Macaca fascicularis: one gene and its partners. The protein of the gene in region 6 purifies or fractionates together with the protein of the main gene of each other region. This does not show direct contact. Links are inferred from orthologs where the notes say so. Each region holds a gene or a part of one and is shown on either strand. Other genes may lie near its edges. The genes, in order: CDK2AP1, ZNF512B, BCL11B, SMARCC2, KPNA1, CHD3 and MTA3.

What was found.
Region 1: the proteins of CHD3 (region 6) and CDK2AP1 purify together in Homo sapiens (affinity purification with mass spectrometry; 6 studies listed by BioGRID and IntAct, with this or other methods). This does not show direct contact. The link is inferred for Macaca fascicularis from reciprocal best matches to the Homo sapiens genes CHD3 and CDK2AP1.
Region 2: the proteins of CHD3 (region 6) and ZNF512B purify together in Homo sapiens (affinity purification with mass spectrometry; 3 studies listed by BioGRID and IntAct, with this or other methods). This does not show direct contact. The link is inferred for Macaca fascicularis from reciprocal best matches to the Homo sapiens genes CHD3 and ZNF512B.
Region 3: the proteins of CHD3 (region 6) and BCL11B purify together in Homo sapiens (affinity purification with mass spectrometry; 3 studies listed by BioGRID and IntAct, with this or other methods). This does not show direct contact. The link is inferred for Macaca fascicularis from reciprocal best matches to the Homo sapiens genes CHD3 and BCL11B.
Region 4: the proteins of CHD3 (region 6) and SMARCC2 fractionate together in Homo sapiens (co-fractionation; 3 studies listed by BioGRID, with this or other methods). This does not show direct contact. The link is inferred for Macaca fascicularis from reciprocal best matches to the Homo sapiens genes CHD3 and SMARCC2.
Region 5: the proteins of CHD3 (region 6) and KPNA1 purify together in Homo sapiens (affinity purification with mass spectrometry; 3 studies listed by BioGRID and IntAct, with this or other methods). This does not show direct contact. The link is inferred for Macaca fascicularis from reciprocal best matches to the Homo sapiens genes CHD3 and KPNA1.
Region 7: the proteins of CHD3 (region 6) and MTA3 purify together in Homo sapiens (affinity purification with mass spectrometry; 4 studies listed by BioGRID and IntAct, with this or other methods). This does not show direct contact. The link is inferred for Macaca fascicularis from reciprocal best matches to the Homo sapiens genes CHD3 and MTA3.

What each region holds. Positions count from the first base shown.
Region 1 is NC_088385.1:130,400,038-130,404,177, forward strand, and holds the start of CDK2AP1 (cyclin-dependent kinase 2-associated protein 1), read right to left. Parts: upstream 2,874-4,140; 5' UTR 2,677-2,873; coding exon 2,622-2,676; intron 2,279-2,621; exon of another isoform or gene 1,955-2,278; intron 1,352-1,954; exon of another isoform or gene 1,249-1,351; intron 1-1,248. UniProt on the Homo sapiens protein: Inhibitor of cyclin-dependent kinase CDK2. Also acts as a component of the histone deacetylase NuRD complex which participates in the remodeling of chromatin.
Region 2 is NC_088384.1:120,103,182-120,107,368, reverse strand, and holds the start of ZNF512B (zinc finger protein 512B), read left to right. Parts: upstream 1-1,315; 5' UTR 1,316-1,451; intron 1,452-1,607; exon of another isoform or gene 1,608-1,753; intron 1,754-2,029; 5' UTR 2,030-2,720; intron 2,721-3,235; 5' UTR 3,236-3,237; coding exon 3,238-3,358; intron 3,359-3,664; coding exon 3,665-3,807; intron 3,808-4,168; coding exon 4,169-4,187. UniProt on the Homo sapiens protein: Involved in transcriptional regulation by repressing gene expression. Associates with the nucleosome remodeling and histone deacetylase (NuRD) complex, which promotes transcriptional repression by histone deacetylation and nucleosome remodeling.
Region 3 is NC_088381.1:167,343,958-167,348,170, forward strand, and holds the start of BCL11B (B-cell lymphoma/leukemia 11B), read right to left. Parts: upstream 2,842-4,213; 5' UTR 2,632-2,841; exon of another isoform or gene 2,356-2,631; 5' UTR 2,241-2,355; exon of another isoform or gene 2,070-2,240; 5' UTR 1,853-2,069; coding exon 1,795-1,852; intron 491-1,794; exon of another isoform or gene 1-490. UniProt on the Homo sapiens protein: Key regulator of both differentiation and survival of T-lymphocytes during thymocyte development in mammals.
Region 4 is NC_088385.1:62,968,030-62,971,607, forward strand, and holds part of SMARCC2 (SWI/SNF complex subunit SMARCC2), read right to left. Parts: intron 2,403-3,578; coding exon 2,327-2,402; intron 2,159-2,326; coding exon 2,027-2,158; intron 1,922-2,026; coding exon 1,806-1,921; intron 1,428-1,805; coding exon 1,303-1,427; intron 1-1,302. UniProt on the Homo sapiens protein: Involved in transcriptional activation and repression of select genes by chromatin remodeling (alteration of DNA-nucleosome topology).
Region 5 is NC_088376.1:160,809,252-160,812,829, forward strand, and holds part of KPNA1 (importin subunit alpha-5), read left to right. Parts: intron 1-3,236; coding exon 3,237-3,362; intron 3,363-3,578. UniProt on the Homo sapiens protein: Functions in nuclear protein import as an adapter protein for nuclear receptor KPNB1. Binds specifically and directly to substrates containing either a simple or bipartite NLS motif.
Region 6 is NC_088390.1:7,972,740-7,976,317, reverse strand, and holds part of CHD3 (chromodomain-helicase-DNA-binding protein 3), read right to left. Parts: coding exon 3,508-3,578; intron 3,027-3,507; coding exon 2,961-3,026; intron 2,511-2,960; coding exon 2,425-2,510; intron 2,275-2,424; coding exon 2,141-2,274; intron 2,009-2,140; exon of another isoform or gene 1,870-2,008; intron 1,580-1,869; coding exon 1,435-1,579; intron 1,264-1,434; coding exon 1,101-1,263; intron 1,007-1,100; coding exon 885-1,006; intron 780-884; coding exon 644-779; intron 532-643; coding exon 430-531; intron 243-429; coding exon of another isoform or gene 240-242; coding exon 114-239; intron 1-113.
Region 7 is NC_088387.1:79,328,958-79,332,535, reverse strand, and holds part of MTA3 (metastasis-associated protein MTA3), read left to right. Parts: intron 1-3,222; coding exon 3,223-3,369; intron 3,370-3,578. UniProt on the Homo sapiens protein: Acts as a component of the histone deacetylase NuRD complex which participates in the remodeling of chromatin.

The DNA of each region.
Region 1 (4,140 bases), on a different chromosome or scaffold from region 6:
GGCCTCGAGGGCCAGTTTCTGGGAGGGACCATAGAGCACAGCACCCTGGGCGTTTGCAAGATCCCAGCAGCCTGGCAGGAGGGGCGCTAGCCACTTCCCACGCACCCTCGAATCAACTCGGTGTGCCCCCGTCCTCTTCCCCAACTGCTTTGCCCACTGCTCCTCACCTCTCCTTTTCTGTCCTCCCCACTGGACTTGGCGCCAGCCCCAGCTGTGCCACTCCTGGCTGTGTGACCTCAGACAGGCCCCCCGCCCTCCAGTCCTCAGTTTCTCCATTTGTTAGAGGCAGTGCTTCCCAAGAGAAGGTCTACAGGCTCCAGACCCTACTATTTGATGATACTGGGGTTAGGTTTTGCGGGGCTGAGAGGAAGGAGGAATGAGAAATTGTCCCATTTTGGCTGGGGGGACGAGGAGCAATAGCTCGGTGACTCCAATGCTCTGTCCAGGCCAGTCCCTTGTTCAGGGTTGGGTGGGGGGTGTCTAGTCCTGGAGAGAGATGGCGGAAATGCCCCGAGTTCCACTCATGGTCACTCCTTCCTGCAGACACAGGGACCGGGACACAGGGACCACGTCAGCGCAGGCCGTCTCGGCGCATCTCAGACAATGAGCGCAGTGTGCAGGAGCGAGGGGTTGGCAGAGGCCAGGAAGCTCCTGGGGCCAGGCGCGGCTCCCCGCCCCCACGCCAGACAAAGAGCGCCGGGGCCTGGGGAGCTGGCGGCCTTCCCGCCACTTGGGGCGCCTGGGGGGCTCTGGGGCGGGGGAGGCGGGGGCTTTGTCTAACTCCGCCACTGCCACCACCGGCCAGGCCGCGGCTTGGCAACCCGTGAGCAGGAGGCAGGGCTGCAGGGCGTGAGGGATGATGACAAGGAAGCCGGAGGAGCAGCGGCAGCAGCGGAGAGTCCATCTTGGATGCAAATGGCAGGAGGGGAGCTGGGGTTCTGCAAAAGGGTCCATGGGGGAGAGGGAGGGGCACCAAAAAGCCCAGATCTGGGGATCTCGGCACTCCTGAAATTCTCCACAGGAGAAAGAGAAGAAAAGCTGAATACAGGTGCAGCCAGCTCAGAACAGGACTTCAGGGGTCCCCGTGAGTGCCGCTATCCCTGTGACCCCAAACCCTGAAGGTCCCAGTTTAAGGCCCCGGCCCCAATGACACCAGGTCAAGCCTGAGCTGTCAGCCTTGCCCAGGCTGGCAACACCAGCCCCTGCCCTCCCCACAGGCCAGAGGAAGAACGCTGCTGGCAGTCCTACCTGGCAACAAAGCCCGTCTTTGTAAGGTCTGCGGACCCCAGAGGAGGTGAGAATGTTTGAGAAGAAAACAGTGGCTGTTTGCTCTTTGGGACTCCGAGCCCACAAGTGAGCAATTCAACTCTCCCTCAGCACCCTGACGATTAACCCTTTCCTGCCCCTACACCTCAGTGTCCAAGGTTTTTTTAAATATCGTTTTTATGGGTCCTACTTCGGATGTGGGAGGTTTATGAAGTCAACGTTTGCAAACAAGGCCCAAAACTCGAGCAGGAGAGCCAGCGTGGCACCGGTGACCAACGGGGCCACTCCTTTCCCTCCGAGTCCTTACCCCCCACGCCCCGCAACACAACCGCCTTTTGGGAAGTCTGTTTCCGACCAAGTGTCAGAGAAGAGGGGCCCCAGTGAGGTCACAAAGCCCGGCACCTACCAATCCCTCAATGTTGCGCCCACTCCCCATGGCTCCCTCGGTCCCCTGGGCTCAGCCCGAAGCTGCCTGACAACTTCTGGAGGAGTTTCCTGGGAGCGCCCGGCTGCCGCCGCAGCCCCAGGAAGGTCGAGGGGAGCCCCTCCCGGCTTCTGCATCGAGGGCCTTCCCGGATCAGCCCTGGGGGCTCCCAGATGGGGCGTCCGCGTGACCCCCTGCCCCCACGCCCGCGCGCGGGCCCTAGCAGCCCCAGGACTGCGCCAACTTCGTTCACTCCGCGCACACCTTACGGGGATCCCCGCGTGACCGCATGGGGCAGTCCCTGCTCCCACGCGCCCGGCCGAGGCCCCCCGGCCTCCGAGTCCGCTGCCCACCGGCGACCCCATCCCGGTCCCAGTCCCGGCGGCCCCACGACCTCAGGGCCCGCGGCAGCCCCGCAGCCCTCCGCCCGCGCCGGCCCGCGCGGGGCCTGGCCCTGCCCGCAGCGTCTCCCGCCCGGGCCGCTCCACGACCCCGCTCCCCAGGGCGGCGGGGCCCCGCGCCCCGCGCCCCGCTCCCCGCTCCCGGCGCGGCCCGGGCCGCTCCCGACTCCCGCCGGCAGGGGCCCTCGCCGAGCCGCCCAGAAGCGGGAGGAAAAAGGAGACGAGAACAAGCCTCCCCCGCCCTCGCCCTCGCCCGCCGCGCTCCCTGCGATCCGCAGCCGCCGGCGCGGGGGTCACCCCAGGCCGCCCGCCCCGCACCCCCAGCCAAGGCCCTCGGCGTGCGGGGCGCACCAGCGAACTTTGGCGGCGCGGGCTCGGAAATCATGGCGGCGGCAGCGCTGCCCCGGGCCGGGACCCTGAGCCCCCCGCCCCCGGCCTCCGCGGGCGCCCACGGCATCCCCCGGCCGGGGCTGGGCGCGCGGACCCCCAACTTGGCGGCGCTCGGGGCGCGTCGCACGCGGCTCACTCACCGGCGTTGAGGGCGGCGGCGGGCATGTGCGCGGCCAAGTTCGGTTTGTAAGACATCCCCCCGGGCGGCGGGCGCGCCGGGCGCGGCGGGGCCAGGCCGCGAGGGCGGCGGCGGCGGCGGCGAGGCCGGGCGGCAGCGTGGCAGCCCCGCGCCCGTCCGAGCGCCCGCCGAGCGCCCGCGCACTTTTTGTTGTCGGCGGCTCGGGCCGCGCCGGCAAATATGGCCGTCCGCGCCCTGCCGCCGCCGCAGTCTCACCCAGGCCCCGGGCGCGGCGCAGGGGCGGCCGCAAACTTTCCGCGGAGCCGGCGGGGCGGCCGGGGCCGGGAGGGGGCGGCCCGGCGTCAGGGGGCGGCTCCGCCTGCGGCCGCGCCCCGCGCCTCCGGGTGCGCTCGGCGCCCGCAACTTGCCAAAGTTTGGGGGGCTGGGGTCCCGGCGGCGCCTGAGGCCCGCGCGCGTCCGGGCGGCCGCCCCGCGCCGGGCGCTCCAGGGGTGCACTGGGGGCCGCCCCCGCGGCAGCTGCAGGAGGCCAGGGCGGCCGGGATCCGAGGAGCACTTTCTTCCCCTTGACGGTGGGGGCAGGGATGGAAAATTACCTGGAGAAAATGGTGGCGAGTGGTGTATTTAAGCACGTAGATCATTCCAGACGCCCGGGTCTGGCCAAGCCCCAGGATTCGAATAACTGATGCTTGACATTGATTTCAAATAAATTTCATGTCCCTGTCTTTATGAAGTGGTTTTTAACCCTTTGGGGATCCAAGACTCCTGTGAGACTGACAAAAGCTAGAGGCCTTCTCCACCCCTCATCCCCCTTCCCGGAAAACTCACCCCTGAATCGCACAATTTCGTGCGTAGACTCACTCCAGTATTTAAGGGAAGCACCTACTATGCGCCACTCACTGTTCCAAGCGCTGAGGATACAAGAACTGAACTTGGCAAAGTTTCTACCCCCTGGAGTTTTACGGGGCAATTTAAATCTTCCTTCGACCCCACCCCCAGCCCATCTTCGGATCTGATTGAAATGTAATCATCGAGTGTATTTTGGATTTGGATTAGATGAATAACCTAAAGGTTGTGGGTTTGTTCTCTTTTTTTTCTTTTTCTTTTTTTTTTTTTTTTTTTTTTTAATTTTGGAGTTCTGCCGAAGTAGTAAAGCTCGTTAAAATACATAAGATGCCCACCCTTTTCTGTTGTTTTTAATCGCCATGGTTTGCAGATTTAATTAGACACAGCCGTGCAAGCATCATCTCCGGATCTGGTAACAAAAGCACCCACCTAGGGATGCCCACCCAGGCCTGCCTTCTCCTTTAGGACCAAAGGTGCAGGCGACGACACCCCCTCCCCAGCTTAACCCCCACCCTTGAGATCAGCTGTAGACCAGCACTAGCGAAGGATGCTCAGTGAAACCTTATTCCATGAATAAATTAATGCCACCCATGTGGCTGGTCCCAGGCGCCTAGTCCTCTAGAGCAGCACTGTCCAATGGAAATAGCATGCCAGCCACATAAGTAATTTTCAATTTT
Region 2 (4,187 bases), on a different chromosome or scaffold from region 6:
ACAAAAAACTAGCCGGGCGAGGTGGCGGGCGCCTGTAGTCCCAGCTACTCGGGAGGCTGAGGCAGGAGAATGGCGGGAACCCGGGAGGCGGAGCTTGCAGTGAGCTGAGATCCGGCCATTGCACTCCAGCCTGGGCGACAGAGCGAGACTCCCTCTCAAAAAAAAAAAAGAAAGAAAGAAAGAGAGAGAGGAAGGAGAAAGGGAAGGGAGGGAAGGAAGGGAGGAAGAAGAAAGGAAGGGAGGGAGGGAAGAGAAGGAAGGGAAGGAAGGAAGGAGAAAAGGCAGGAAGGGAGGAAGGGAAGGAAAGCAAGAGAAGGAAGGAAGGGAGGAAGGGAGGGAGGGAACAGAAGAGAAGGAAGGAAGGAAAGAAGAAGGAAGGGAGGGAGGGAGGGAAGGAAAGAAGAAGGGAGGGAGGGAAGAGAAGGGAGGGAAGGAAAAAGGAAGGAAGGAGAAAAGGAAGGAAGAGAGGGAAGGGAAGGAAGAGAAGGAAGAGAACGAAGGAAGGAAAGAAAGAAAGAAAAAGAAAGAAGAAAGAAAAAGAGAAAGAAAGACAGACAGACAGACAGACAGACAGACAGGACAGGACTCTCCTGGGGGAGATTCTTGCGGGTCCTGTGCTAGTCCCGTGTGGGGCCTCCTCCGTCCTCTTTAGGAGAGCTACACCTTTCTCTGCCTCATTCAATTCTCAAGTCCTGTGGTGTCAGTGCCCCGTCGCCTCCAGACCACTCAGCCCACACCGGACCCCAGTGCCCCCTGCAGAAGCCCAGGATATGGGGCAGGGAAGGCCCTGGCACTGGTTCAGAACCACTGCCCCCAGAGCTGGGAAAGGTTGACCCAATGGTCAGTGACCCCAGTAAAGCTCCATGGCCTCAAGCCACCAGGCACCGCCAGGGGCCAGTCGCAAAAGTGGTCTCAGGGCCGGCTGGAAAGAGGCTGAATCCTGCTTTGCCGGTGCACGGCCCCCAGGGCCAGAGGTCAGGGACTCGAGCCCAGAGACCACCCTCGCCGCGCGGGCCAGGATGCGGCGGAATCAGGTCGCCTCAATCCGTGCGCGCCGGACTCCGGGCAGTGCCCAGCGCCCCTATCGGGCCTCAGTTTACCCCACTGTCCAAAAAACTCCCCGCGCCCCAGGACGGCAGAACTGGCTACTCCGGACTGCGGGCCCGGCCGACGGGGGCGGAACCGCGGGGGGGGGACCACAGGCCAGCGCCGGGCCCCCTCCCCGCCCCCTCCCCGCCCCCTCCCCGCCGCGGAGCGGCCGCGGGAATAACGCGAGAGTTCGCCCCCTCCCCCCCGCAGTAAAACTGTCAAAGGTGGGAGGGGCGGGAGCGCGCATGTGCGCAGCGCGGCGCGCAGCCTGCGCCGCCCGGACCCACCGCCCCGCGCCCCGCGCCCCGCGCCCCCCACCCCGGCCCGGCTCGGCCCGGCCGCAGCCCCGCTGGGCGCCGCAGGTAAGCGCCCGGCCGTGCCCCAGCCCCGATCTGGCCGCAGCCCCGGCGCCCACCGCGCCCCGGATCTCGACCCCGCGCGCAGGCCGAGGAGGGGGCCGGGCCCGGAGCCCCCCCGCCCCCCGCCGCGCCCGAGCCCCCGCGCCCCGCGCCGGCGCCGTCTTCCTGCCTCCTCCTTCTCCAGAAAAAGTCGCCATTTTGGTTCACTGCCTTCGCCCCCCCACCCCGCGCCCGCGATCGGCCCTGCCCGGCCAGGCCGAGGCCCGCGCCCCGCGCCCGCGCCCGCTCCCGGCCCCAGGTGACAGGTGGGTGGCGAGGCTGGCCCCAGGTGCGCGTCCCTGGCCGCGCTCACCCTCGCGCCAGGCCTGGGCCGGGGTCCCGGGCCGAACGGCCTACGCGGCGGACCCGCTGCTGGCGTCTCCTGCGCGCAGCGCGGCGGAGCCCCCTCTCCCCGCCAGGGCTCGGTGTGCCCGCTGGGCTCGGGAGGGCCGAAGCCCCTTCTCGCCCGGGGCGCCAGTCGCGTCTCTACCTCCCAGGCCGGCCCTGGCCTCAGGTCCCACTACTCTGAATTCTTCTCCCAGGCTTCAGAAAAATTGGGGCCACCGGGGTCGTCAGGTGCTGGGATGACTCATGCGGACCCTGTCTCCTTTCAAAGTTGCAAAGTGAGGACTTCCAGAGAACTTTGTGCCCGGACACTGGCCTCCCCCTTGGCAATGGGCAGTGACTGTCCTGACCTCTGACCTCAGCTCTCTGGCCCTCCTGGACACAGCAGCCCCTTCCCATCCCCTCTGATCTAAGTTAATTAGAAGGTATCAGGAGGGGGCCACCTGCCCACCCAGCCCTCACCCTGCTTCCTGTCCCACCTCTTTCCGTGGCTTTTCCACAGGGCTGAGCCCAGAGTCTCCTCTGCTCCCCAGCTCTCAGGATGGGGTTCCCAGCAGCACAGGACCTCGGGGGGGCCCAGCGTTGGGCAGCAGGGCATTCTCTCTGGCCAGCAGCCTGGGCCTTCACTGCTAGTGCTTCCACTACTTGTTTGGCTGAGGTGGTGGTAATGGGTCTGTGGGCAGGGGACTGAGAGTTCCAGAGAGAGATTGGGGGCGGGTCAGCCTGCCAGGCCCGCAGACAAGTCTGTGAAGAGGGTCGGGGGGATAGCTCAGCCAGAACAGAGACAGAAGCCTGGTGCAGGGCTGGAGTGGGCTGGGGGTCCTCAGTGCCCACCTTGGCTGTTTTCCATCTGTGTCTGGAGAGAAGATTCCAAGGGTACCTGCCTGGGTAGGTTGGCATTGCATCAGGTCTGCATGGGAGGGTACCAGGGCCCCAGTGAGAAGCTGTGCCCCCACTGCTGGGCCCGGGCAGCTTGTGAGCCAGCAGCCATCATCGGAGACATAATTGTCCCCTGGAGGAATGTTGCCAGCCTCCTTCCTCCTGCACAAGGCACCTCTCCCGGGGGCACACCCCTCCCAGCATCACCTCCAGCATCATCTCTGCAGCTATGGGGCTGTGTGTTGGGAAGGGGATCTGGAAGCTGGTGAGGGTCTCAGGACAGGACTAGATCCTTCCAAACTGATGACGCCTCCTGGGTTATCTGGGGAGACCTTGGCTGGCAGCCCCTCCCCTAAGTCAGAACCCCCCATCACTTGCTTTTCCCACGTGAACAAAACCACAGGAGGGCAGGCCCCTCTTCCCTGACCAGCGAGGACCTGCCAAGGGCGGGGCTCCAGGGCAGCCTCACTACGTGTTCTGAGTGGGGCCCGTCAGGCCTCACAGATTGTCTACTTGCTCCGCAGAGATGACGGATCCTTTCTGCGTTGGAGGCCGTCGGCCCCCGGGGTCCAGCAAGAGTGGTCCCGGGAAGGATGGCAGTCGAAAGGAGGTCCGACTTCCAATGCTGCATGATCCACCGAAGATGGGTAAGAGGAGTCAGGGCCAAAGTCAATTCTGGGCATGGTTCTGGGCAGCAAGGGGTAGGAGTGGGCCACGGCCCCGGGCATCCTGTCTCCAGGTACCCAGCTAGGCCCCTTGAGTTCCCAAGGACCTTACCAGGGGAAGGGTTGCCTTGGACATCGCCCAGGGCCCTGGGTTCTTGTCCTCAGCTGGCCACAGCCCCTGCTCCCGGTGCCCTGGTGTTGGGACAGTGGCGCTCACTGTGGGCCTGTGCAGCCCCCAGTGGTAGACAGTGCTACAGCTTCCGAGCCTTGCTGTGTTATGTGCTGCAGGGATGCCGGTGGTCCGTGGTGGACAGACAGTGCCTGGCCAAGCCCCTCTCTGCTTTGACCCAGGAAGTCCAGCCAGCGACAAGACAGAAGGGAAGAAAAAGGGGCGGCCAAAAGCCGAGAACCAGGCCCTCCGAGACATTCCTGTGAGCTCCCTCAGGGCCATGGTGGGGCTCATGCTGGGGTCTCCCTGTCCAGCCACTGCCCTGCCCTGATTTGTCCTCTGCACATCTGGTACCAACTCTGTGCCTCAAGGTGTGGGCACTGGCCTGGCAGGCTTCATGTGGTCTGGCTTTATATCTGGTGTGCCGGGAGATTCTGGGCTCCTAGAGCAGGTCTTGTGCATGGCCCCTGCTGGGTGGCTTGAATTCCCACTGCAGTCCGATGTTGAGGGGCTCATGTGGTGTGTGCACCCTGCAGGCCCAGGGAGGGCTCTGAGTGTGGGGCTCGGGCTGGCAGTGGCCCGGGTGGCTGCGGGTCAGCAGCACCACCTTTCCCCACACCTAGCTCTCCCTGATGAACGACT
Region 3 (4,213 bases), on a different chromosome or scaffold from region 6:
AAAAAGACCTTGATCAAACCAAGCTCAAATCTGGCTGCAAAACATTTTGTTTTAAATGCAGCCGGCGAGTCTTCTTTGATGTTACAATGGCGAAAAATAAAAGAGAAGTCCTCTTCCCTCCCTCCAAAGAGGCATCCCTCTCCCAAGGCGAATCCCACTTTAATTTCTATTCCCCCCAAAAAAAAATCATAATAAATCCACAAATTCTTACTAATGTATCTGCTGCAACAAAGGAGAGATGGCAACAGCAATTGCTCCGAGCAGATGGCTCCTATGCTGGATTTTCAGGGGAGGGGAGAACCCCTTTATATATTTATTTATTTATTTAAATTTTTTAAAATATAACATAAATATTCGGCTCTCGGCCGCCCCGCAGCCAGTCCTCTGCGGCGGCTGGGCGCGCAGCCCTCTCTAGCTCCGCGCGGGCAGCCCGGCCCCAGCCCGGCGAGGTGCGCGGCGGATTGCAGACATACAACCTGCCCGCGGTCTCGATAGCACCCAGAGGATGTTTTATTTTTAATGCAATAAAAAAAAAAAAAAAAAAAAAAAAGGAACGGCGACCCAGGCACCGCGAGAGAAAGAACGGCGGGGAAATGTTCGCGCGCAGCGAAGAAGCGGCCCCGCGGGCTGCGGCGGGCGGGCAGCGCGGCGATGCCACCTTCCCGGTGCAAGTGTGCGGGGACCCGGAGCGGGCTCCCCTGCAAACACCGTACCTGGCCCGCTCGCGCTCGCTTTTCCCCTCTGCTAAATAAACCCAACAGGGACGGTGGAAGCTGCTGCTTGTCTAGCCCCGCTGCCTGACTTTGCCCGCCCAGCCACATGCTTGAAATCTACACGATTTCAGCCGGTGGATTTCCACTGCGACCTGCCTTGTTTATTTAGAGAGGAAAGATGAAAGATACTGAGATAGAAAGATGGATACGAGATTGATGGGTCTCCTTTTATTTCTTTTTTTTTTTTTCTTTTACTATTTTACGAGCGCATCACTCTCTTCCCACTCCTAACTGACAACCTTTTTTTTTTTTTTTTTTTTTCTCGTGGCGGGGATTTTTCACCAACCCCAATCCCCCCACCTTTTTTGAAGTGGGGGAAAGAAGACAAGATCATCCCAGGAGACAGACGGAGGTGGGGAAATGGGGGGTGGGGAGGGGGGCTTGAGCCCTGCAAACAGCCGCGCAGCTGGATTATTTTGCAAATAGCAGGAGGAGGGGAGAGAAAGGCGGCTGCGGAATCCTAGGACCGGCGTGGCCGGCACCCTGCTGGGCCGGGCGCAGGGACCGGGAACCCGGAGCCGGCGGCCGCCCCTGGCCCTACGGCTCCCCCAGCCCGAGCGCACCCCGCTCTCCTCCGCCCGCGCCGTCAGCACGGACCCACGCGCTCGCCAACTTTTCCCCACTTCCCGGCTCCCCCCTCCCCCTCCGCTCCCCCAGCTCCCTCCCCCTCCTCTCCAAACCCCGCCACCAGCGCCGCCGCCGCCACACACGCCGCTCGGAGGGGCGAGCGTCCAGCCGGGCTCGGCGCGCACACACACACTCCTCTAGCCTGCACGCCCCCTCGCAGGCCCCCGAGCCCGAGGCGCGTCCGGCTGCTCGGCGCCCCAACTCCCCCGGCTGCAAAGAAACTTTCCTATGGCCCCCGCCCCCCGCCATGCTGCAGGCCGACGCCGTTGACTCTGCCAGCCAGCGGGCGGCCCCGGCGCCTGGCCCGGCTCGGCTGTTCCGGGCTCCGTGTCCCCAGCCCCAGGCGCCCGGAGCCCCATCTCCGGCCCCTCGCGCGCACTCCGCAGACACTTACGGGTGATGAGCTCCCTCTGGGACAAGTGCTGCGGGTTGCCCTGTTTGCGGCGGGACATTGCCCCGGCATCTATTCTGGCATCGCCCGGAGAGCTGCACTGATGGGGGGAGCCGGGGGAGGGGGTCCGAGTCGCTGCCGCTGCCGCCGCGCCGCTGCCGCCGCCGCCGCCGCCGCCGCCGCGCCTCCTCCTCTGCCCGGGTTGGTGTTTTTTTTCCCTTCCTCTCTTGCCCTCTCTTCCTCCTCTTCTTCTTCTTTATTTTGCTCTTTCTTCTATGCTGTTTTTTGTTTTGTTTGCAAAAAGAAAAAAAAGGGAAGAAAAGCAAGAAAAACCTTTCGATCTAAAATAAGAAAAAGAGGCAAAAAAAAAAAAAAAACTGCTGTTGCTTTCCGCGGACTGGCTGGTTTCTTTAAAAATATATTCTTTCGAAGGAAAAAAAATCTCTTACACTTCTTCAAACTGCTTGGCCTCTTGCACTTGCAAATGTCTTCTTGAACTTAAACTGGATTTTGCACCGGCTCCTGACACTTTCTTTCAGGGTCTGGTAGGTGGAAAGCGCACTTCTACCAGGAGGGGAAAAGAAAAAAAATGCAAACAAATAAAAAAAAAAGAAGAAGAAAAAGCAAAGGAAAAAAAAAGCAAAGAAAACTTGGGGACTTGTCTCGTACCCCCTCACCCCGCCCCCTCAAAAAACCCAAAGCAATGTAAAACTGCCCCGGTTCGGTTGTTTCTGGGTTTTTCTGCGGGCTGCCTGTTTTTGTTTTTTGTTTTTTTTTTCTCGGAGACTGACCCTTCCGAGGCTCTGGGGGGACACCAAGAGAGGCTCCTTCCCAGTTCACCTGGCAGGCTGGCGCCGGCCGGAGGGGCTGCCGAGTCCCCGCGAGCGCTCCCCAGCGCTCCCCTGGCGCCGCGGGCCCGGGGGGAGCGGGGCGGAGGGGCGGCTCGCCCAGTGCGCCTGGGTCGGTGCGGGCGCAGACTGGGAGCTATAGATTGCAACGTGAAGATGGCGGAGTCCGGGTTCTCTGGGAGCTCTCGGTCTCTCTATGGCTGGGGCTGCCTCTGTACAATGGGATAAAATTCAAGTTCAAGTGCGGACGTGACGTTTAATCTGCACTAGAGACAAAAAGACCCAGAGAGTCGGAGCACTGGGGGCGACTAGCGGTGGCTTTTTAACATTGTACCCTGTAAGAGAACAAGAAAGCACACACAGAGACACACTCGCGCGCGCGCACACACTCACATACACACACACAGTCGCCGGTTGCGCACACCCGCAGCCCAAGCCGGACACACGTGCAAACCGCGTTTTTGTGCGCTCCTCATCTCCCCCCAGCCCCGGCTGCGCAAAAGCAGGAGGGGGTTGGGGGGGGGGACACTGGGCAGCGTATTTTAAAATAAAAGAAAAATCGTCCTTATATCGCCTCCCTCCTGGGAGCAGGACCCCCTGAGAAGGGGGCCGGGGTACTGTGTGAGTGAACTAAATTGAATCAATACAAGTCTCCACCCGCCCAAAAGCTCTTTCGGACTTGGACTTTGGGGGTGGGGGCGTGGACTGTGGAAAAGGATTGGGGTCGACATGGGAGTTGGGGGACAGTAAGAATTGCTTCGTTTCCGTGGAAAAGTCGCTTGGAAGTTTTTACTTTTGTTTTATGGTCGCGGGCGGGGGCGGGGTGGTGGATGTTGGAGTTCAACTTCCAAAAAGTGTCTCCATATAAATCCTGGTATTACAGACTCTGGGAGGGTGAGGAAGACAAAATAAACGACACTAAAAGAACAGAATCAAGAACACGTGAGGGGCTGAGAAGTGTTTGAGACCTTGTTTGAGTCCCATTTGGAAAAGGATTTTCACTCAAATCTCTGTCCCCTCCCCTCACCTTACCCCCATTAACTCCTAGGGGTCAAACACGGCCCCACCCCCTAAACCGGGTCTATGGCAAGCGAGAGGGTAAGGGGCCCGGGCGCTCCACGTGGGAGAGGGACTTGGACTTGCCGGCCCAGGAGTAGGTGTGGCCAGATCTCCGCAGATACTCGGGTGGGTGACTCCAGGAGGCGCCCCTGACAATCACAGCAACCTGAAAGTCACACCCCGCCCCCCGCGCTCCTCGGCCCAGGGTAGGACTTGAAAATGCCTGTCAGACTGGGAAGGACGCAGCTGCCTTGTCAGCCGTTTGATCTCCAGCCGGCGAGGACAAGAGGAGTTGTGGGGCCTGTCTGTGGCCCGGGGACAAGGCCGGACCACGGCCCCCGTGGACACCCCCTATTCCCCAGGCTGCGGCCAACTTTGTGAATTTGATGACCTGGCCTCCAGGGCTGGGCGCGCCACGCGGCTGGCCTCCTCTCCATTCTCAGGGTTTCTCCGGAGGCGGCCAGGGCGGGTCGGGGCCTGGCTCCCGCTGGGCTTCGCGGGCGAGTCCAGCTGCA
Region 4 (3,578 bases), on a different chromosome or scaffold from region 6:
CCAACCAAAAAATAGCTTATTTCTCTATGTACATTCGTTAATCATTCTTGTCTTTGATAGGTCTTTATCTCCATCTATGTATCTGTAAGCTTTTAATGGTCTGATACTGAATCTGACCAAATCATTCTGTGGAGGAATGGTTAGGTGTTAAATGTTTTTGAAAGCATACTTTCCTCAACTGAATTCATATGCATATGCTCAGGAGCAAACAGAGAGAGGAGAGCTGATTGATGAGGAGGTGGAAGCCAGAACTCTTCTTGGTGGCACCCCTAATCCTACCCCTGAAACACACGTCTGGAATACCTGGGGTGAGTCTATAGAATACAGACTGTAAACCAGCATTGGTGGAGCAATGGTCTCCAAAGTGGGGTTCTAACATAGGATGCAAAAGATGATCCACTGCAACTCAGGAAGAGAATACAGAATTTCTCTTCATGTTTTTGTTTTTTGTTTTGTTTTTTTGAGACGGAGTCTTGCTCTGTCGCCCAGGCTGGAGTGCAATGGTGCGATCTTGGCTCACTGCAAGCTCCACCTCCCGGGTTCAAATGATTCTCCTGCCTCAGCCTCCCAAGTAGCTGGGATTACAGGCGTGTGCTATCACGCCTGGCTAATTTTTGTATTTTTAGTAAAGACAGGGTTTCACCATGTTAGCCAGGATGGTCTCGATCTCCTGACCTCATGATCTGCCTGCCTCGGCCTCCCAAAGTGCTGGGATTACAGGGGTGAGCCACTGTGCCTGGATACTTCATGTTTATCATTTTTTACATTTTTCAGTTTTTTAGATATGTTTGTGTTTTATAACGTTCCCACAGTAGTGACTTAATAGTACATGTACAGGCCGGGTGCAGTGGCTCACGCCTGTAATCCCAACACTTTGGGAGGCCGAAGTGGGCGGATCATGAGGTCAGGAGATCAAGACCATCCTGGCTAACATGGTGAAACCCCGTCTCTACTAAAAATACAAAAAATTAGCCAGGTGAGGTGGTGGGTACGTGTAGTCCCAGCTGCTTAGGAGGCTGAGGCAGGAGAATGGCATGAACCCAGGAAGCGGAGCTTGCAGTGAGCCAAGATCACGCCACTGCACCCCAGACTTCATGACACAGTGAGACTCCGTCTCAAAAAAAAAAAAAAAAAAAGTAGTGTGTAAAATATCATCTAGTATGATTATGATTATGTAAAAACTAAATTGTGGATCCTGTAGACTGGGAGCTGGACCTGAGAAATCAGCTCACTCGGGGTTCGGCAAAGGAGAATCAGGATGGGGAGTAGGGGTGGATTCCAGGAGCTCAGCCTGGCCTGTACCTGTTTTGGGAAGTGTCACCTCTTCTACATTGGGGACTGGTGAGGGCTCGTCCATGTCCTTTGTGAGGTCTTCTTGCTCCTCTTCTCTGTGGCCACGCTTTGACTTAGTATAAGGTGTTGAGGGACTGGGAAGGAAAGAGTGAAAGAGAACTCAGTCATCCTTGGACAAGGAGTCCCTGGAAGTTGAAGTTCAAGGGAAGGGAAGTGACAGAGAATTCCAAGGGTAGAGCTGAGTACAAACAGAAACCAGTAATCACAGACTAATCGGAAGTGGCAAAGGCTTTTCATTTGATAAAGCTCTCTTTAAATTTCTAGTGGCGCCAGGACCAGAACTAACAACTGAGTAGCTAAAGATCTCCTCATCTTCCCTCTCAGGACACCTGCAGTATTTACGGCACACCCAGGTCAGGGCCAGGTGGTTATAGGAAGGGATTTGTCTTTCCTTCCTTCAACATGATGTGGAGAGAATGGTGAACTCGGGGGCAGGCTAGGGGCTGGCACACCCTTTCTTAGCATTTTTCTTCTTCGCTTCTGGGGTTGGCGAAGGAGAGGGGGAGCGCTTCCTCTTCTTATAGTTTCCCCCCTTCTTGTCCCGTCGATCTGAATCTGGGCTGTTCACCTATAGGATGGAGAATCGGGACAAATGTCAGCCTACAATCCCCAATGAAGATTTGTTCTGAGACTTATGCTAAGGGCACCAGGAAAAAAGAACAGGATTTGTCACCTCATCTGTCAATGTCTTGGCTGAAATCTTCTTTCGGCGGGAGACAGGGTTTTTGTCATCATTTACTTCGTAGTCTTCCTCATTCATCCATTCATTGAAGGTGTCGGTGTCCAGGATCCACTTTGCATGAATCTAAAGTACAAAAGCAGATCATGCTGCAGAGAAGCCTGGAAGCCACAGCTCTGTCTGGGGACCCTTAACAGAAAAAGCCCAAGGGCACACGAGCCTCTGTTTCACTTTCCAAGAGTAGACTGCTCCTGGCATTCTTTTTGGGGAAGAGGGGGTACAAGAAAAGCTCACCTTCCTAGGTTTCTCAGGAGTTGGAGCATCTTCCACAGATGCTTCAATTTCACTCGCTGGGATCCATGTGTCATAACTGCCATGGGAAATTGAGCACACAGTAGAATCAATGGGATAGAATTGTGGAAAAGTGAAGTGCAAATCTTTTATCCTTTCCATTTACAGAAAGTATTGGGTTGGCTTTTTTTTTGGTATTCTATTTATTATAAAGAAGTAAAAGCACATTACGAAACATTTCAAAAATAGAGAACAAAAAGAATTACCCTTACATAACTACTCTTGACACATGTATATATGTTTTTTCACAGTAATTTTTGTTTTGTTTTTTCGATACGGAGTCTTGCTCTTGCTCTGTTGCCCGGGTTGGAGTGCAGTGGCGCAATCTCGGCTCACTGCAATCTCCGCCTCCCGGGTTCAAGCGATTCTCCTGCCTCAGCCTCCTGAGTAGCTGGGATTACAGGTGCCTGCCACCATGCCTGGCTAATTTTTATATTTTTAGTAGAGACGGGGTTTCACCATTTTGGCCAGGGTGGTCTCAAACTCCTGACCTCATGATCCACCCACCTTGGCCTCTCAAAGTGCTGGGATTACAGGCGTGAGACACTGCGTCCAGCCGGGGTTTTTGTTTTTGTTGAGACAGGGTCTCACTTTGCTGCCTAGGCTGGTCTCGAACTTCCAGCCTTTAGTGATCCTCCTGCCTTGGCTTCCCAAAGTGCTAAGATTACAGGAGTGAGCTACTGTGCCTGGTCCACAATTTTGTTTTTACATAATCATAATCATACTAGATGATATTTTACACACTACTTTTTTTTTTTTGAGACACGGTCTTGCTGTGTTGGCCAGGTTAAAGTGCAGTGGTGCAATCATGGCACAATGCAGACTCAACCTCCTGGGCTCAAGTAATCCTCCTACCTCAGTCCCCCAAGTAGCTAGGAGTACAGGTGTGTGCCACCATGCCCAGCTAATTTCTGTATTTTTTTTTGTAAAGACAGGATTTGACCATGTTGCCTAGGCTGGTCTCAAACTCCTGGGCTCAAGCAATCTGCCCGCCTCAGCCTCCCCAAGTGCTGGGATTATAGGCATTAGCCACTGCACCCAGCCTATGTGCTATTTTTTGTTTTGCTTTGTTGAGACAGAGTCTCACTCTGTCGCCCAGGCTGGAGTGCAGCAGTGTGATCTTGGCTCACTGCAACCTCTGCTGCCCGGGTTCAAGCGATTATACTACTTCTCAGCCCCCCGAGTAGCTAAAACT
Region 5 (3,578 bases), on a different chromosome or scaffold from region 6:
CTTTTAACAACTATAGTGTCTTTTATACCCTCTGAATTTTTGAACCCTATCAGTATCTTTCTGTCCCTCACCCACCTCCATATGCTGTATGCTTTTGCCGTATTTGTTCCTTAAATTGGCTGTGGCCACTCTCAGCTCTGAGCTTTAACACATGGTTTATTCCCTCTGCCTGGAACATATGCCTTCACTGCTACCCCTTGCTCTGACTGCCACCTCACACATATCCATATTCTCTACTCCTAATGTTTTCTTGTTCTTGAATTCTTGGTATTATCATTATTTTCTCTGAGAATGCTTGTTTGACCCTAAACTTTTAAGTTAGGTACTTACTCTTTTTTCTTCATCCATCAGAATACTAATCACATTGTATTGTAACTAATTACTAGATTTTAAGATTCTAGAGGTAGATTATGTCAGTGTTTATTTCTGTGCCTCTGTAAATCTAATAATTTCTGGCACAATATATAGGGACCTAAAGAATATTTATTGAATGGAACGAAGTTCTGAATCTATACGTCTAGTTCTGATCTATCTCACGTTTCAGTCCTATATCTGCAGTAGTCTCTTACATATTTCTGCTTGCTTTGCATATCTCACATACGTCTCGCAGTATGTCTTCTTTCCCCCACAAAGCAAGTTCCAAGTTTTTATTTTTCCTATTTCAAGTAATGATATAACTATTCTATTTACCTACACATGAAACTTGGCAGTCACATGTGGTGTCTTCTTCCCTTCTACTTTGTATAGCAAGTTGCCAGGTCTTCTTGATTCTTATTGTTACTAGATCCCCATCAAATTACGTTCTTTTGGTCCTTGTCACACACACAGGTTGTTGCTGTACCCACCCATCCTCCTACTCTCCTAAGCAGTTACTCATCTCAGTTTATTCCCCCTAATAACAACTGAATCTCTCCTGAAATAATGTTATTTACATTATCTTCTTTTAGAAACAATAAGCTGCTTTAGTGCCTGTAAGATAAAGAACCTTGAAAAGATTCAAAGGAATTTCTCCGTAAGATTTTAGTCTCATTCTTCTTTCTAGCCTATTATTTTTGGGGCATAGAACTCTTTCTTAATTAGCCTCATCATGGCCAGGTATGCTGGCTCATGCTTGTATTCCTAGCATTTTGAGAGGCTGAGGTGAGAGAATTGCCTGAGCCCAGGAGTTCCAAACCAGCCTGTGCAATATAGCAAGACCCCATCTCTAAAAACATTTTTTTTTAATTAGCTGAGCATGATGGCATGTAACTGGAGTCCTACCTACTCTACTCAGGAGACTGAGGTAGGAGGATTGCTTGCGCCCAGGAGTTTGAGGTTGCAATGAGCTATGATCATGCCACCACACTCCAGCCTTAGTGATAGAACCATACTGTTTCTTAAAATGAAAATAGCCGCAGTAGTCTGTTCTTATGATACTTTGTAATAGCTTGTCTCTGCATTTTTTCATTTCTTATGTGCAGTGTCAGTCCTCCTTTTTGCTAATGAAATCCTGTTGCCTATTTAATAGGCATAAAAGACTTGATTTTAATTTGCATTTCTTTCATTACTTATGAGATAATTTTCTATTAAAATTTTAGTTTCTCTTTTCAGTTTACACAAGGAAGATAGCAACCCTCTCATTTGTTGCAAATATTTTTCACATTGGATGGTGTACATTTTTAAAATCTTTTATGATTTTTGACAAGAAAACATTTGTTTCATGAAATTTTTGTTTTCTCCTATAATTTATTTTTATGCTCAGTCTTTTACCATCCCCAAATCAGCTATTTTCTAATATTCTGCTTTATGATTACTTTTAAAAATATTTACTCTTAAGTAGCTGCAAGTTTATTTTGGCAACTTAGGGTTTTTATTAGTCTGTTATTTCACTGCTATAAATACCTGGCCGAGTGCAGTGGCTCCCGCCTGTAATCCCAGCACTTTGGGAGGCCGAGGTAGGTGGATCACATGAGGTCAAGAGTTCAAGACCAGCCTTACCAACATGGAGAAACCCCGTCTCTACTGAAAATACAAAATTAGCTGGGCATGGTGGTGCGTGCCTGTAATTCCAGCTACTTAGGAGGCTGAGGCAGGACAATTACTTGAACCTAGGAGGCGGAGGTTGTGGTGAGCAGAGATGATGCCATTGCACTCCAGCCTGGCCAACAAGAGTGAAACTGTCTCAAAAAAAAGAAAAAGAAATACCTAAGATTGAGTAGTTTATAAAGAAAAGAGGTTTAATTGGCTCATGTTTCTGCAGGCCATACATAATGTGTATAGTAGCTTCTGCTTCTGGGGAGGTCTCAGGAAACCTAAAGTCATGGCGGAAGGTGAAGAGAAAGCAGGCATGTCTTACATGACCTGAGCAGGAGCAAGGAGTAGGGAAAGGTGCTCCATACTAGAACAGAACCATGGCTAACCATTCTTGGAGGCTCCACCCCATGATCTAGTCACCTCCCACTAGGCCCCACTCCAACCTTGGGGATTACAATTTGACATGTGATTTGGGTGGGGACACAGATCCAAACCATATCAGTGTTAAGAACTGATTTTGAAAAAATTGTTTTTAATCTATTTAGCTTTTTATTCCAGTTCTGTCAAAGCCACCAGTCATTGGGAGAAAGGGTTAATTTTTATTATAAACTTTATACATAGCTGCATTTGTTTTTAGAATAGATCTCTGTTCTCTTTGTTTAGTGATTAATTCTTAAACCTGCCATATACTATCTTAATCACACTTTTTTTATTTTTGTTTCTAGTAGAGTAAGTCTCCTTCTCCATGTGTATTTGTGTTACCTCCTTCACCTTTATAAACTGATAGCTGAGGTCATATCTTTTTTATCTTTGTATCCTATGAAGCACCTGATATACCTCATTAAGTACGTATTCGTTCATTGACTACCAAGTAGTGTGTTATCAGAGGACCTACAAATCTGAGACTCCTGACTTTTCTGGCCACTTGATATATTTATTTATCCATTCAGAAGACTTACGCTGTTGGGATGGGAAGGTGAATGAGTAATGCTATTGCAGTTACTAAGTACAATTTAGCCGTTGTGAATGTGTACAATGAAACTGGATTGATAATCTTAGAAACTAATTCTTATTAACAGTGAATACTTTTTTTTTTACCTGTATAAAGTTATTTATAAAATTTCAAGGGGAGATGTTATGTCTTTCATAAAATCTGTTCTTTAAGTTAAACATTTATATTTAGAACAATACAATAAGTAAAATTTTCAAACTTTTTCTTTTAGGTAATTCTGAATTGCTCAGCTCTGCAGAGTTTATTGCATTTGCTGAGTAGCCCAAAGGAATCTATCAAAAAGGAAGCATGTTGGACGATATCTAATATTACAGCTGGAAATAGGGCACAGATCCAGGTAACCTCATAGGACCTAACTTTTCTTTCAGTATTTTTATTGAAAAGTAAGGTTTTTTTCTCAGTCACCCTTTAAAACATATATTGTTTTCGGCTGGGTGTAGTGGCTCCTGCCTGTAATCCCAGCACTCTGGGAGGCTGAGGCCCGTGGATCACTTGAGGTCAGGAGTTCGAGACCATACTGGTCAACATGATGAAACCTTGTCTCTACTAAAAA
Region 6 (3,578 bases):
CATTGGAAGTTACTTGGAATTAAAGGTAGCAGGAAGCCTCAGGCAAAACGAGAAACCCCATGAGGATGAGCAGATCCCCTTGAGGAGCAGAAAGCAGCAAGAGTCTCCCCAACCTGTGAAGCCACCATCTGCGATATTGAACATGAACCGGGGCTTCTCTGTCTTTTCCTCTCGTCGCCCATTGGACCGTGGCTCATCTCGAGGCCCTGGTCGAAGCTCCCGGTCACCTTTTACATCTTCTGCTAGGACAGACAGGTGAAAGCTCACACCTCAGGACACCCTCCTCCCAGGTCCCAAGACTACTATCTGTACTGTGCTGTCCTGGCCTTTCAAACAGCTACCCGCCCAGGACCCAAGCATTTGGTTCCCCAGACTCCACCTCCCCTGATGCCCTCAGGGACCCAGGTGTCCGGTCCTTCCACCCATTACCTCTCTTGCCCAAATCCCCTGCTTCCCCCTCCGGCCTCTCCCTGTGTTCCTGTCCATCCATCGGCTTCTCCTCCCCCCTTTCTCCTGGCGTCGACTCTGTGGCTGTGGGAGGGGGTAGGGGATAGGAAGGGAGGATGTTACCCTCATCCTCTGACCCCAGAAGAGGGACATCCCAAATTCTAATCCCCCATCACTCCTAAGGCCATGCACCCACCTGACTTCTCTCTGTCCCCACGGTACCCAGGTTCAAGCTCCATCTCTCCAGGTACCCCTGGCACCTCATCCTCTAGAGGAATCTTCCTTGGCTCCAGCCGCTCCCCGAGTGATGGGGCTGGGCTGGGGGCATCAACCTGTAAGAGGACAATGGGGTCAGGATGAGCTGGAGGGCTCCCAGGCATCTGGCCTCCAAGCCCCCTCCCCTCCCACTCCACAGGGGAATCCAGGGAGCCACACACCTCTGTGTCCATCTTCTCCCCAATTCTGCTGTTCTTCTCTGGCTTCTCCTCCTGGTTTTCAGCTTCCTCCTTCTCAAGAGGAGTCCTTATGCCTTCTCCTTTCTCACTTGGAGCTGGAGTAGCTGCAGGGGAAGGCACAGTGATAAAGACAGAGGTTCTCTTGCCCTGACTCCTGGCTCCCTTTCTGTCTCTCCCACCATCCTGATTTCTGATTACCAGGTTTAGAGGTGCAGGGACTGTTGGTAGCAGAAGCCTCAGGAGTGGTGGGAGACGTTTTGGTAGGAGAGGAGGCTCTGGAGGAGCGCTTAGAGTCAGCGCTGGGGTCGGGCATCAGTTCCGGCATTGACCAACGCCCATTGATGTGCTCAAACTCCTGCACCTGGGGTGGGAAGGACAGGTGTCAGCTCCAGGCACTTACAGACATACAGACAGGAAACTCCAGTCTCCTCCGTCTCACACCAGCGCGAGCTTACAACTCAGGGACAGAGGCAGAGGAAGGACAGAGACTAGGCAGCCAGCTTGATTTTTTGGGTGAGAGGAAGACTGATACCTTCTTCTTGACGAGAGACATGACTCCAATGCGGGTCAACACCTGCTGGCGACTCAGTCCCTCCCGAGGGACCCCATCGGCAAAGGTTTCAGAGCCGTCTGCCCCAGGCTCACACAGATGGCGCATGAACAAAGATACATAGGCCCTAAGAAGCATGGGGTGGGAGGACGGTTAGGGAAGCCACAGAAGGGGTATAGGGCAGTGAGGAAGATGCAAGGATGACTGAGGACCCCCAAGTCCCCAAATCCCCAGATGCTCCAGGGCTCCTCCCCTGGGCCTCTCACTCTCACCATTACCAGCCCTCCAAGTCCTAACCGTGCCCCTGCGCCCCATCCCTGGCCTATCCCCTTGGCCTTGGTACTTAATTCCTGGGCCCCATCAGTCAGCTCTTCATCCTTTCCACCAGCTCCTCCTGCCAGGTGATTGTGGCCAAGTAAATGTGAGGCTAGGACAGCCCAGGAGAGGTTCCTTGCTTCAACACCTCTCCCCTGGGGAGAATGCCTGGCCCCTCTACTCTAGGCTCGGCTGAGGGGAGGTGGGGTGGGCTGAGACCACCCCCCAGGAAATCGAGCCAGGAAGCGTTGTATGGTAGGGAGGGTGACAATCAGTTGAGTAAGGTCACATCATATGGCGGCCCCAAGGAAGAATGGAACACCCAAAGCTCTTACCCTTGCGTCCAACTCAGCCCTGCATCACCCACACTCACTTAAACTCCTTCTCAGTCTTGCCCCTCAGGTCCCGCACCAGCCACTGCGTGGTGAAGGCATCCTGTGGTGGCATCCCCCAGCGCATCACGGCATTGAGGAAAGCCTTCCGCTGACGGGTATTGAAGCCCAGCACCTGAGGGTGGGGGCAACGAGGCAATGGCGACAAATGTCCAGGGTTCTTAGGTCTTGTCCTTTCTACCCTCAGTGATCCAGGCCCCAATTTCCAACCTTCTGCCCTCATGCTCTCCTTGGAGAACTCACGAACACTGGGCCCAGCTCTCACCTCAATGTTGCCCCCGACTCGGGCCAGCAGTGGAGGCAGTGGCTTATCTTTCTCATTCCGGAGCTGCCTCTTTGACTGTCTACGCCCTGAGAGTGGGGATGACATCAATTAGCTGATCCACCACCTCCTCTAAGCCTCAGTCCTCCTTAGCACCCCATTCCCACAAGACACAGAACACAGGAACATTCCTATCATGTTTGAGGTGCTCCCAATTCTCTCCCAAGCACTTCAGAACTACTAACCCAGTGACTGTAAAAGAACTAGTCATATTTTAAAATTAATAGCTGATATCTGACAAAGGCCCAGATTACCAGTGGAAATGGAAAATGATTCAGCCTTTCTTGATCTAGTCTATGTGGTCACACAAACCGAAGTTTACTAGTGGAGAGACTATCAACATTGCTTCCTTTCTGCTCATCTGCAATGGAGTTTTTCCACACACACACAAAGATTTTTTACTTGTACAAAAACAGTGGGCTTAAAGCAAACTGAAAAATAAAATGGTAAGAGGTAAGAGTCAGGAACACAGATGCCACCTTCAGGACGTTCATCGAAGTCTTCATCCTCCTCCTCTGAACCCACCGAGTACTCTGACTGGTTGTCTGTGGGGGTGGAGAGGGCCCAGTGGTCAGGGAGGTCTCTCGGGATATGCCCATGCTGGGGCCCTTTCTGGCTGGCTTCCTCCCTGCCGAGACTTGTCTACCTTTATTCTGGCCTTGGCCCTTCTGGGAACGCCAGGTCACTGCCTGAAGTCTGACTTGGGAGCCGCATATCCTACAGCATCTCCATTCACCGCCCACCTTCAGTCTCTGGGCCCCTCTGGTTCTCCTGCCAAACCTACTCTAAGCAGTGGCCCTGGGTGTCCACAGGATGCCTGTGCAACCACCAAATAGTTTAAATCACCTGCAAACCCACCTGGCCTCCGGGTAGTTCCTAATGACTCTACCTTACGTCTTTCCCTTTTAGCAGGGAAAGGCTCTGACTTCTAGGCTTCTCTCTTACTCTCTAAGTAGCCCCAGCCTTAAGTCCCTTCTCATCATCACTTCCCCCACTTTTACTGCCTGCATCTGGGGCAGTCCTCACCTTGGTCTTCCTGAGCAGCATCATTGTAGTTAACTTGCTTGCGAACCCGCTTGCCCTTGCCTAGATTCCGG
Region 7 (3,578 bases), on a different chromosome or scaffold from region 6:
GTAAAGTGAAATATGTACTCAGAGTTGCTTTGACAGAAAGATTTATAATTAAGAAATGTTCAGACTGCAGACATCAACTCTTTTAAAAATCAATTGAATTTGGTATATTATCTAGTCCTTACCCGAATGTTCCAGGAGTCAGAGGCTCAAAGCTTCTTCTTTGATATTACTCTACTATCTTATTTCTTGCTTTCTTTCTTTCCTTCTTTCTTTCTTTCTTTTTTTTTTTTTTTTTTGAGACGGAATCTCACTCTGTTGCCCAGGCTGGAGTGCAGTGGTGCAATCTCGGTCACTGCAAGCTCCACCTCCTGGGTTCACACCATTCTGCTGCCTCAGCCTCCTGAATAGCTGGGACTACAGGCACCCACCACCACACCCAGCTAATTTTTGTATTTTTAGTAGAGACGAGGTTTCACCTTGTTAGGATGGTCTTGATCTCCTGACCTCATGATCCACCTGCCTCAGCCTCCCAATGTGCTGGGATTACAGGCATGAGCCACCGCACCCAGCCATTTCTTGCTTTATTTTTCAGGGGTTAAAGAGTTGTTTTGATATCCCCTGAAAATGTCACATGGTTATTGTAGGCATGACCTAGGTAATGGTGGTAATGTCCTTGAAGAGTGCTGTCTGTATTCCCTGGCAGAACTGACTCCTAGATGCCCCTTCCCACCTTGCATGGGAAAGTTTCTGATCACAAAAAAATAGAATAGGCCAGGCATGGTGGCTCATGCCTGTAATCTCAGCACTTTGAGAGGCAGGCAGATTGCTTGATTCCAAGAGTTTGAGCCTGGGCAACATAGCAAAACCCTGTCTCTACCAAAAATACAAATATTAGGCAGGCATGGTGGTGCATGCCTGTGGTCCCAACTACTCAGGAGGCTGAGGTGGGAGGATCAATCGCTTGAGCCCAGGAGGCAGAGGTTACAGTGAGTTGAGATTGTGCCACCACACTCCAGCCCAAGCGACCAGTTGAGACCCTGTCTCAAAAAAAAAAAAAAAACAAAAGAAAAAAGAATATAACATTATTAGCCTTTCCATGAATAATTGTGTGCTCCTACTGTGGGTAAATTGGTCTCTATATCTGCCAGATAGGCCCACACTGTGCTGTTCTTACTAGCTGAACCACATCCCTACACAATATATTTATGAGTATTTATATGTTGAAAACACTGTACTAAGTGATTTGGGAAACACCAAGATGGGTAAGACCTTGCCCTCAAAATTCTTAGTGTAGTGGGGAAAGCAAGCAGGTAAGAAGAATAAAACAAAGGATTAGATCCTATAAAAGAATTACAGGTAATATGTGTTGGGCACTTGGAGGAAGGACTGTTTTTTTCTTTTTTTCTTTTTTCTTTTTTTTTTTTTATTTGAGATAGAGTCTCACTCTGTCACCCAGGCTGAAGTACAATGTCTCCATCTCGGCTCACTGCAACGTCCACCTCTCAGGCTCAGGTGATCCTCCCACTTCAGCCTCCTGAATGACTGGGACTACAGGTGTGCACCACCACACCTCGCTAATTTTTAAAAATTTTTGTAGAGATGGGGTTTCACCATGTTGCTCAGGCTGGTCTCGAACCTCTGGACTCATGCAGTCTGCCTACCTTGGCCTCCCAAAGTACTGGGATTACCAGAGTGAGCCACTGCACCTGGCCAACCAGGGAATTTTTTCTAATGAGTGTTAGGGCAGCCTACCTGAAGAAAGTAATAGTTAATTTCAGACTTAAAAGATACTTAGAATTCAAATAGAAAAATAGGAAAAGGCCGGGCGCGGTGGCTCAAGCCTGTAATCCTAGCACTTTGGGAGGCCGAGACGGGCAGATCAGGAGGTCAGGAGATCGAGACCATCTATCTCGATGGTCTCGAGACGAGAAGAGATGGAAACCCCGTCTCTACTAAAAAATACAAAAAACTAGCTGGGCGATGTGGCGGGCGCCTGTAGTCCCAGCTACTCGGGAGGCTGAGGCAGGAGAATGGCGTGAACCCGGGAGGCGGAGCTTGCAGTGAGCTGAGATTGCGCCACTGCACTCCAGCCTGGGCGACAGAGCGAGACTCCGTCTCAAAAAAAAAAAAAGAAAAGAAAAATAGGAAAAGCATATTCTCTTCCCTCATAAGGCCAAGAGAACCAGATGAACAAAGGTTTCAGTGAGTCCAAGGACTTGAAAGCAGCTTGTCTGGTGTGGATGGAGCATAGGCTGTGGAGGTTAAATGAAACGCAAGGCTGGCAAACTTGTCATGTCATGTTGGAGAAAAAAAAAATCACTTTTTTGGGTGGCAGTATTCAAGCCATTTCTAAATTTTGGCAAATGTGGGGACTTTGACCAGAGATGTAGTAAGTCTAACAATTCCAACGGCTTTTCCTAAATTCCAGTAAATAAGGGCGATATCTCAGCCCTTACCTTCAGTGAAAGGGTGAGAAGACAGGATGGCTTGTGTGTAGTTGGCCAGCTGCATGATGACTCTGAGAATCGGTGAGCTGGTTAAGCTTTAGAAAAAGGCTGCCCAGCTTTAGTAGTAAACTGAGGTTCTTAAATCCAGTTCCTACAGTGTTACGGTTTCTGTCCATCCACAATAAGAGCAAGTAGTTCTGGGCTGTATGGCTAACAACAATATACTTTTGTTAAATGTGCATATGCCAGTTTTGTGATATATCCTTAGATAAAGCATTTCATCTACCTCTTGACTATTGGACTTTGGTTTCAAGTTTCATCTATATCAAAATGTTCTAGGCTGCGAGTAATTGATCCTGGTCCCATACTCTGTCTGGTTACAGAGCCAGAGGAGGAATCCTGTTTTTCAGAAAGCTCACATACCTGACATGGTGACTGGTTTGACAGAGCACAGAGGTTTTTTACCCTCCTCGCCCCAAGGCTACCTCTCCAGATAGCCTTTTGATGTCTAATATCTTGAGGAGTCAGATGCCTTATTCCCTTAGTAAATCACATGTTGTATGTGACCTTCTGAAGTGGCTTTTTGTTTTGTTTTTGCTTGTATTCACAACCCGAGGCTCAGAGCTCCAGCCAGCAGGGGAAAAACCAGCTTACTTGATAAGCAAAGCCATGGCAACACCACTTGAAGCTGACTCATTATGCAAGTCCTTGGCTGGCTCAGGAGGAACTGACTCTCAGCTCATTAAGTAATAAGATGTGTGCCTATTAGCCAATGTAAGTGCACATAGATTTTTAGTATCATGTTCTGAATTGAGAAACCTTTTTCCCCCCACAGAGATCCATCCTGCAAAGAAACCTAATGTAATTCGATCTACACCAAGCCTGCAAACCCCAACTACCAAGCGGATGCTAACAACTCCAAATCACACATCTCTGAGCATTCTGGGGAAAAGAAACTATAGTCATCACAATGGTCTGGATGGTATGTAAGCCCAGGAATTCTGGAGGCTGTTCTGACAGAGTGCCTCCACACTCAGGCATGTGTCTGCCACATCCAAGAATATATTATAAACATGTTCTTGTGCTCCATGATTGAAGTATGTGGTTGAGGAATAAGGGGGAATATGACCATATGCCACATTTTGCCAAGGGATTGTTCTCCATCCCATCAGGAGGTACCTATTTGCTCCC